2 linked regions of the Arabidopsis thaliana genome follow. The protein of the gene in region 2 interacts with the protein of the main gene of each other region in a pairwise test. Each region holds a gene or a part of one and is shown on either strand. Other genes may lie near its edges. The genes, in order: AT2G27580 and AT1G26300.

Evidence for each region.
Region 1: the proteins of AT1G26300 (region 2) and AT2G27580 interact in a two-hybrid assay, tested with the Arabidopsis thaliana proteins (one large-scale study listed by BioGRID).

The regions. Positions count from the first base shown.
Region 1 is NC_003071.7:11,775,837-11,779,638, forward strand, and holds AT2G27580 (A20/AN1-like zinc finger family protein), read right to left. Parts: upstream 1,718-3,802; 5' UTR 1,450-1,717; intron 1,333-1,449; 5' UTR 1,296-1,332; coding exon 804-1,295; 3' UTR 574-803; downstream 1-573. Other genes in the region: AT2G27570 (P-loop containing nucleoside triphosphate hydrolases superfamily protein), read left to right, coding at 51-259, 304-469; AT2G27590 (S-adenosyl-L-methionine-dependent methyltransferases superfamily protein), read right to left, coding at 1,932-2,133, 2,589-2,707, 2,816-3,296, 3,385-3,491, 3,732-3,802. UniProt on the Arabidopsis thaliana protein: May be involved in environmental stress response.
Region 2 is NC_003070.9:9,095,106-9,101,500, forward strand, and holds AT1G26300 (BSD domain-containing protein), read right to left. Parts: upstream 4,661-6,395; 5' UTR 4,642-4,660; coding exon 4,209-4,641; intron 4,142-4,208; coding exon 4,035-4,141; intron 3,934-4,034; coding exon 3,836-3,933; coding exon of another isoform or gene 3,832-3,835; exon of another isoform or gene 3,451-3,831; coding exon of another isoform or gene 3,052-3,450; exon of another isoform or gene 2,976-3,051; coding exon of another isoform or gene 2,946-2,975; exon of another isoform or gene 2,538-2,945; intron 1,523-2,537; coding exon 1,326-1,522; intron 1,121-1,325; coding exon 1,071-1,120; intron 984-1,070; coding exon 918-983; 3' UTR 663-917; downstream 1-662. Other genes in the region: AT1G26290 (uncharacterized protein), read left to right, coding at 2,946-2,975, 3,052-3,450; CAL (K-box region and MADS-box transcription factor family protein), read right to left, coding at 5,225-5,324, 5,539-5,687, 6,288-6,329.

The sequences.
Region 1 (3,802 bases), on a different chromosome or scaffold from region 2:
AATATTGGCATTTCTTTTCTAATGATGATAACGTAAAAACCAGTTTCGAGGAAACGTTCGAGTCTTTTTGTAAGGGAGTCAACTTTTTTGGGCCTTTTTGGGACCAAGTCTTAAGCTACTGGAGAAGAAGCTTGGAAGATCCAAATCATGTCCTTTTCATGAGGTTTGAGGAGATGAAAGCAGAACCTCATGAGCAGATCAAGAGACTTGCTGAGTTCTTAGATTCTCCTTTACTAAGGAAGAAGAAGAGAACGGATTGGTGGATGAGATTATAGATCTTTGCTCTCTACGTAATCTAAGCAGTTTGGAGATCAATAAGACCGGAAAATTATGTGAAGGTAGAGATAACAAAACATTTTTCCGTAAAGGAGAAGTCGGTGATTGGAAGAACTATTTGACTCCTGAAATGGAGAACAAAATCGACATGATCATCCAAGAGAAACTTCAAAATTCTGGTTTGAAATTCTGAGTTTGTGCTTTTCTCCAATGCATTGTAATAAGACTACCCTATGTTGTTGTCATGCTTTTCTCTGTTCTACATATTGGCTAATGGCTAATGTAATGACGAACCAATCAACCAAATCCAAATTCTACACATTGATAATACGACTTAAGCCTTCTACAAGATCATCAAACGGAACAATCAAATCAATAATAAGCAAATTTAATAACCAAACTGAAGAAATCATCAAATAAAGCTTAAATTTACATTGACATGTTTGTTTCTTGCTCTTTCTTCTTCATGTGTGTTTCATTCAAACGCACAAAACCAAAGCAACAACAACAAACAACAAACAACAAAGTCAAATCTTCTCAAGCTTATCAGCTTTCACAATCGGATTCGCTTTAGCGATCTTATCCTTCCCCATCCGCTTGAAATCAAACGAACATTCATGTTGCTCCGCGTACCTATGCGTCCCGCAGAAAACGAAACCACACCTACACCGAAACCCCGTGATTCCCACGCGCCGCCGACAAGTCAAACACCGCTTCGGATCTTGCGGCGGACCATCCGCCTCCTCCGGTTCAGCCGCCGCTCGTTTCTCTGATTTCGCTTCAACGATTTCTTTCGAATCAGCTGGAGGCGGAGGCGGTGGCGACACGGAGGAAGACGCAGCAGCGCCAACGGCGGCTAAGGATTGGGTAAGAGCATGTTTGGCGGTGGAAGAGTTTTGTTCTTGATGTTGAAGATCTCGAAAACATTTGGAACAGAGATTTTGTGTAGCTGTGCTTCCGAAGAAGCCACAATTGTTAGCACATAATCGTGGTTCTTGAAGTCTGTGTTCTTCCGCCATAACAGAATGGATCAAAACAAACTCCGGCGAAAAAAATCTACAAAATTAACCGATCGATGGAATCAAAAATCAATAGATCTGTTGCTTAAATCTCATCAAAACTATAGAACAGAAAGAAAAAACTAATGGATCGGCGAAAACAACAAGTCATTACCTGGTGAAAAAAACGATTTATTAGATCTGTTCGAATCGGTGATGGTTCTAAGAAGAGAGAATCTGTATTTTTATAAGAAGAGAGAAATCAATGGAATATGGAAAGAAAGAAAGGAATCGAGAGATGAGAAAGGAAAGAGATGAAGAATTATGAGGAAATGGGAAAACTAACGACGACGCAATCGATACAAAATTAAATTGTTATTTTACTCTTTTTTTTGTTGGCCGTAAGATGGAAATTGGACAATTTGTGGAAAATGGTGTTATTTGGCTTTTGGGCTAGCGTTGAAGATTCCAGAAGCACCTACACTATTCATTTTAACAATTTTGTGCTTGATAATTGAAATCATGAGACGACAAAAAAATAATATTGAAATCATGAAACTAAACCAGTGCGTGTCAGAAATAAATACTAGATGTAAAATCGACAAAGGATCTGAGTTAAAGGGCTAGTGTCTTTTGATCAAAAGATAGAAAGCATAACTAGAGGCTGACCGCAACAATGTAAGCATTCCAAGAATCACACTGTTGAAAGCTCTTGACTTGTTCGTACTTGATATCACGTCCAGCACCAAACCCATCTGTTCTACGCATTTCAGAAGCGTCCGGCATTTCTCTGAGCCAGAAATGGACTGAGCTAAACCCAGCTTCCTCCATACAATCCTTTATCTCCGGCAATGACCACCTACACATATATGAACAGCAGATCCAGGAGTTACTTCTCAGGAACTTAATGATTCAAGAGTGCAAGTACAATAAATCTACAGACAATAAGGAAAGCAGGAATATTGTCTTGCCCGAATATAACATTCAATATCATTTCACTGCTACTTACCAGCCAACACAAGGATAAGTCACTAACATATGAATTTAGATATCAGTAACATTCGAGCACATGTTTGTGTAAGTTTTGATCCATAGTGGCTGCACTACAGAATCTCTACCTCACCCAGCCAACCAAAATTACCAAAAGCCTACACTTATCAAGTTATCTAAAATGCTAAGCAAACCCCTAAGTACCAAATATGCTTCGTTTTTTTGTAACTGTAATATTTTCTTAAGGCTTGTGGGAGATTGTGGGTAATGACTGTCCCACTTTGAAGAAAGAATGGATGTGGAAGTAGACTACAGGACACTTACAGTCTCCAGCTATATGAAAAAGCATGGCGAATCTTTCTGTTCTGCTTCTGAAGGTGATAGTGCAGACTGATCCTTGTCTTGCGGCTTAAAATATCAAACTCAGCCTGCTCCCATGTATACTGCCAAATGAATATGGACAATCGTTAGTACGGTTATCTCTAGTAAGTTCGATATTTATGGCTCTGACACCCTTTTTTACCGAATGAAGTACAAGAATGAACTATTACCGTGAAATTAGGGAATTTCCGTTGAAGCTTCAACTGTCCCTCAGCAGAAGCACCTCCATATAAATCCATCACGAAGATACCACCTTTCTTAGACAAAGCGTCACGTGCATTCTTGAAGTAAGAAACCAACTCCGAGCGTTTGTGGAGACAACAACAACTAAAATTAAAAGCACACACAATATCCCTCTTTGGCAACGAATCAGGTCCATCTTTCTCTAAAGATTCGACAACACTCGGATCAGCCAAATCTTCATTATCATCACCATCATCCAAGCTGATATTTTGTATCAGCTCATGGGATTTAGATTTCACTTGCTTAGCCTCAAGAGGAGTTAAAACATTCCCATGGAAAAGCGACATTCTTGAATACACGTCAGAACCAAGTTTACTAATGTTGTTATCCATACACCATTCTAACGCCTCAAGATCAAAATCAAGCCCTATAGCAGTCCGTCTAGTGTCAGTCTTCAGCCACTCCGCACTATTCCAACAATCAATGTAAAAACTTATTCAAGCAAGAAAACCAAAAGCTACATTATTTTGTACCATTTAGTGAAACACACAACAACCTTAAAAGAGCAGTGCCGCAGAAATCTTCTTGGAAATGGAAAGGTTGTCTTCCACCAACATACATTAAAAAGAACTTCTGCAAGTAACTTATGTCTCCTTTTGGTGACTGCAACAAACAAAAAGCAATGAAAAGACAAGAACAACAAATGTTAAAGCTTAGTGCTTGATGATAGAACAAGAACAGTGAAACACAAACAATACAATTTGTTAAATCTTAGTGCTTCTTTATACAAGAGATACAGAGAACTCTCTCCCTAAGAAAATTTAAGTACTTTTAACTGATTTCATAAAACCAGTAAGAACCACTCAATGAAACTTAGAAGGCCAAGCACAGAATTGCAGTTACCTGAACGGATTGTTGGTAAAGGAGAAACTTTGAAGGCAAATCCGATGATTCGTTTCCATCATTTTCTTCTT
Region 2 (6,395 bases):
GGGTTCTTATTTTTTTTCTTTGGAAATAAAATAATGAAGAAATACTTGACAAAACAAATTGTCTTTATTGATGAAGTGTCAGCAATGTATCACGTATGTAATGTAAGAGGTACCCCTAGTTTCGTGATGAAACCATGTGGAATATTTTCCCGAAATGATGTAGACCGTCTTCGCTTTTTATACACTTTTTGTTCTTTATACATTGTCCTACTATATATTTAAACAATATAAAAACGAATAATAATATTAGAGGGATAACGAGAATTGGTCGTTTCTTCGTCTGACAAAACTATCTCTCTATGGGCGGGTCTATCCGTTGGCTGTGACTGCCTCTTGTTTTTTACTCACGCATGGCCATTGTTTAGATGTTCTTTCTCATACAGAGCACCGAACCAAAAAGAATTGTCTACAACTAAAACTATTGTATTGAGTTGCTTGGTGAGAAAGAAACTAGTGTTTGTCTTGTGTTTAGAGTTTACCTTTTAAGTTTTACCAAACGCCAACGATTGTTACAAGTATAAACTCAAAATGCATCTACGAAATATGGAACTAAGAAATAAAATTGAGATTGTGGTTTGAGGCCAGAGACAACGTTGCCATCAACACTCCTTCATAAATCTATAATGAATGCACTGCTTAGGAGATTTCAGAGTGCACCGAGATTCGGAAAAGCATGAATAGATTTCATTGTGAATTTGTGATGGGTGAACCCAAAAGACTAGAGAAGTTTAGAGTTGAAGTAATTGACTACTTATCGGTAGCAGTGCTGTACAAAACGAACCAGAGGACTGTTTGGCAAAACAAATGAATCATATATGAATTGCGAAATCAAGGTCTTCGTATGCATCACTTACTAAATCAAAACTATACATTTCAAGCATCTTCTTCATTTACCCTTTTCTAATTGGAACTTAAAACTAACAAGACACTTCGTTTCCTGCATTTGTTGTAGCTTTAGATGATTGCTTCTCGTCTTCAACATCCTGTAAACACGCAGCATAGGAAGTTCCTTAGTCCGAATTCATGAACAACAAGGTCTACATTTGGCGGAAATGTAAAAGGGTGCTTACTGAGTTTCCAATCTTGTCAAAGTCATCCTCAAGGCTTCCATCACCATCATCTGGAAGGGGTTAAACACAAATTAATAGATTATACATCCTGCTAAACTGAGCTAGAGACACAGTATACACAAAACCAAATTCAACGCCTTGGCTGATTCAAACAACTTGATATACGTTTATAATGACAAAATTAGTGACGTGGATACAAGAGGAAGATAACCTAAACACAGTTAAAAGTAGGGAGCAGAGAAGAGAAATTCTCACCTGGAGCTTCATCACTGTCTTCTAGATCACCCAACAGGAATGTATCCAGATCCTGCTCAGAAGACGCAGTAGATGTTCTACGGATTGCAACATTCTTTTCTACTGTTTCTGTCTCTCCAGTCGCTGGAGCCTTCTTAGCTTCTTCATTTCCATGCTCTCCTTTGGTCTTAAGTTCCTCCATGTACTTCCTCTCATATCTGAATAAAGTCATTACAAAAGAATGCCTCAGAACAAGCCAACTACCAAGATAACATATCATATCGATGAGATGCAAGGATCAACAAATTGCTATCCTCTACATGAAGGACTGTTGAAACCATCATTATAGATATAAGTCTAAGCTAATGGCATTCTTTCATCTCACGATCTCCTAAATGCATTACCAGGCTTCTTTATCAAATCCCTTTGTCCACACATTACTCAATTCCTTAATTACGATCCTAACTCACTAGTGTGAGTTACGCTTGCTTATCACATAGTGCGATGGAGATTGTAAGAGTAACAACAAAATCTTCTTTTACAACCATACACTATCATCTACAAAATAACATTAAATCCTAAAATCCAATTAGTTTTTTTTCTTAGCAATAATATGATTAGGAGAAAATTTAGCAAAGAAATGCTATCGGTGTATTAAGACATGGTAACTGATTAAGAATAAGAATCAAATAATTTAGTTTGCAACCAAAATGTTTTTTACTTATAAGTGTTAAGTTTCTAAGTTTTTGTAAATTAATTGAACACACTATCCAATCCCTTAAGAGAAAGTTCAATATGATTTTCACATAATTAAATTTTTAACACTTTTAAGTTTTAATTTTTGTGTGAATTAATTGGACACACAACATCCAAGCTCCTAAGAGGTGTCTTAGGTTCAATATGGTTTACACATAATTAAATTTTTAACACTTGTTTTTTTTCTTAAATTTTTTTGTTTTTTTGATAAGTGTTAATTTTAAAATTTTTGTGTAAATTAATTGGATACAATATCCAAACCCCTAAGAGATGTTCTAGGTTCAATATGGTTTACAAATAATTAAATTTTTGACACTTGCTTTTTGGCAATTAATATTAATATTATGTATATTTACAATATAAAAAAACAATACTCATTATTTTATGTATATTAATTGGACATAATATCTAATTATATAAAAAATATTATGTATACTTACAATAAATTAATTAGAGACAACATCCAATCAATTTTGTTTTTCTTTGGAAACAAACATGTCAATCTTCTTCTAAATATCTCAGTCACAGATCGTAAAGATCCTACTTTTAAGCAATCCATAGCAGCCTTACAAGTAAAGCACTATTCTCACCAACATATAAAAAGGACATCAGTTTCAGTTTAATCAACCACAACAAAGTTTCTGAATCCGCAATTAGATATATTTGGAGCGTAAATGTTTCCAAGGATCTTTTGTTAACGGTCACATAAAACCATACAATTAAGAACTTTTTATAACCTTATTTGGACCACCAACTATTGTATAACTGAGTCCCACAAGGAACTCCATCAAGACATATGTCAATGTCAAAACGATATTGTTTTATAACCCCATTTGTTAATCTAGTGGGAAAGAAATATATGCGCAAGGCGAGAAGTGTGGAGCCATGGACCACAAAGACTATAGCCGACAAAATGTAAGAAAAATATGTACATTATACCTTCATCATGGAAAGAAAAGCAGCTACTCATTGTTTATAAGTATTATTGTAGGCGGAGAGGAGACTCTTATTGTCTAAAGACGAAGAGAGGATCCGCGATGAGCTAGAAATGGAAATCGAAAGAAATTTGGAAGGGGAATTCAAGGACGGGATCTACAATCTCGCACTCAAGCTGCGTCGACTTTATGAACAAAGACGAGAAAGAGAGGAGTTGTTCGATGTTTCAATGAGAAAGAGCAAGAGAGTATTGGAGGTGAACATAAATATAAAGATGGAAGGAGATACCAAGATTGAGATCACAGAGAAGAAGAAGGAAGTAGACAACGAAAAGACGAAAAAGGCAGAGAATTCGGACAAGAGAAAGAAGTTTGTAGCAGTTGGTGAAGATAAAACAGGAAAAGAAAAGATGAAGAATCAAACGAGGGCTCATGAGCTCAGATGGAAATGGTAAAGAGAATGATTGGCCTGGATCTGTGCCTATATGCTGGTATCTATCTATGTTTGCACTTTTTCTTCCTGCAAATCCTACTTAAACACGAATGAAATAAGAGTTATGCTTGCTTATCACATAGTGCGATGGAGATTGTAAGAGTAACAACAAAATCTTCTTTTACAACCATACACTATCATCTAACAAAATAACACCAAATCCTAAAATCCAATTAGTTTTTTTATTAGCAATAATATGATTAGGAGAAAGTTTAGCAAAGAAATGCTATCGGTGTATTAAGACATGGTAACTGATTAAGAATAAGAATCAAATAAATATATAGAAGAGATAAAATAATGCTATTCTATAAAATCATAAATTTATAGAAGAGATGGTAAAGACTTACGGAGAAACATGAGTGCTCACTAGTGTGAAATAAATCCTCCAGAACCTCCTTTCTTTCATGAAACGAGGGCAAAGTTCGTATCTTAACTTGGAGATTTGCTGCAACAATGTGCAATGTGCATACAAAATCAGCTAACTAGATTCCTAGAGTAGACACTACAAGTCATATAACATATGAAATCTCGAATTTGAAAGTTGACCTTGACAGAGGTTAGAACCAGAGTGGCATGTCTCTCTTGCCAATCCGAGAGATCCTTTCGAACATTCGAAGCATTTGTTATCACATCGGAAACTTCATCCCCTTGATCTATACAAGTAGCTCACATTCAGCGAAACGAAGAGCCAACAAAATCGAAACAAAAATCAACAAATACCTTGATCAGGAAAAGCTTGGAATGTAGCAGAGGTCAAGCCTTCAGCGAACTCTCTCAAATCATCCGTTACACCGAATTCGAGAAGCTCCGCTTCTGAACCGGATCCTGACCCGGTCCCGGTCCCGATTATATCAGCGATCGATTTGATGTTCTGGATCTGATCAGCTTGTTTCAGCGCGGCGACTTTGAACTGATCCGCCTTCTTTGAAGCTTCAGCAGCGAATTCTTTGGATTTCTTAGCCGTTTCAGCAACGAAATCGGCGGCATTGAATTGATCAGCTTTCTTCGAAGCTTCGAGAGCGAGTTCCTTGGATTTCTTAGCAGTCTCGGTGACGAGATTGACGAAGGTCGCGGAGGATGATTGTGTTATCGTCTGAGACTTCTTACCCGCTTCTTCTGCGAACGATTTTGCCCTCTTCCATAGATCCTCCATTGCTGCGACTACTATTTTTCTTTTCTTCTCCGATTTGTTTTATACAGTTTCTTCTTTGGCAAAATGCCAAGTATTATGGGCTTAAACAATGAACTAATAATTATGAAGCCCACAAGGGCCCAATAATTCTCATTTCCGATCGTATCACGCACCTACATGAAGCAAATGGAGAAGAAACCGAATGTCACGTTCCCAACATTTTTATTTCTATTTTCAATTCAAAATTTACCTTCTAAGGCTGTGATTTACTTTGACCAAGTAAAGTTCAAATCATCAAAGACTAAATTCGTATTACAAATATTTTTTTTGTGTGAAAGAAATCAAATTACAATGTAACGATGAGATCAATATAGAAAAGGTTTGAACAACAATTCTTTCTAGCTCTCTCAGTCCCCAAATATTACATTTATTCATTGCTCCCCGAAATACAAGATATATTGAATTGGAAAAAGGCTTGATCATGTTGATATGATATAAGGACATACCAAAAATATATTAATTAACCGGTGTTTAATATAGATCATGAGTAGAGGATCGATCTTATATTATTTTAAAGAGATTGATATAGATCGATGTAGTCTATTCAAGCGGCGTAACAGCCAAGGTAATTGTAAATGGGTTCAAGAGTCAGATCCAGATTGTTCCTCCTCATCGCCGTTTGGTCTTCTTCTTGGTACAAACCACTGAAATTACAATCATATATAGCAAATTAAAATCATAATACAATAATATGCATGCATACCATCAACCTCTAACGCCATACCTAACACAAACCCTATATATGAAGTGCATTCACTATCATTGCCTATATGACTGACTGAACACTTCACTATATATGAGAATTTGACATTATGGTAAGAAAAAAGAACTTAAAAAAACAAGAAATACTGCCGTTACCCCATATTTAGGAAAGGAGAAGTCTGATGAGCGATCATGTAAAGATGGGGGTGTTGAAATGGTTGTGGCTGTGGTACATCGTCGACGCTGCGGTTCAGCTGCTCACATTGGGTTTGTTTTGTCCTTAGGATGTTTTCCCTCTCCTTTATCTATACCGATTACACACGCCAAGAAAATGATATAAGCATCATCTTTATATAGATTCCCATTTGCAACTAATCAGCTATTTGCATTTATTCAAGGAACTTCAATTTTTTATTCTTATACTTTTTTTTGTAATATGATATTTTCAAACAAAATGCAAAGTAATAATTAAATCTGCAAAATGTTAAGCGAATTTTAGCGTCGTCAAGGTCTTACTATTGTGATATTTTTTCATTTAATATATGTTCTTTAATCAAGTAGTTTCATCGTACGTTTTCTTACTTCTCAATAAAACTTAAATAGAGCTCCTAGCTATCTAGCTAATGTATGTGTAATTTACACATAGACTATGATTATGAGAAGACAGTTCAAGTTCAAGTTCAAATCTGGGAGACAACCTTAATACTAAACGGACAAAGCTTACCTATACGTGCAGCTAGGCTCATGATTATACCAATCAAAAGAAACTACATATCAATTCTTTTTACTCAAAAGAGTTGGTGCCGAAAGTGGAGAGATGGTAGCTTAAGGTAGAGATTGAAGTGGAGTTCAACAGTGGAATTGTAAATAGTGAAACAGTTAGAAATGCAAAAAACAATGATCACCTGTTTGGTAAGCATGCTGTTTTCCTCCTGTATCTCCTTCTCCTGTCATTTCCACAAAAATGACACCATTGTCAATTTCTCTTTTTATATGATCTATATAAGTATATA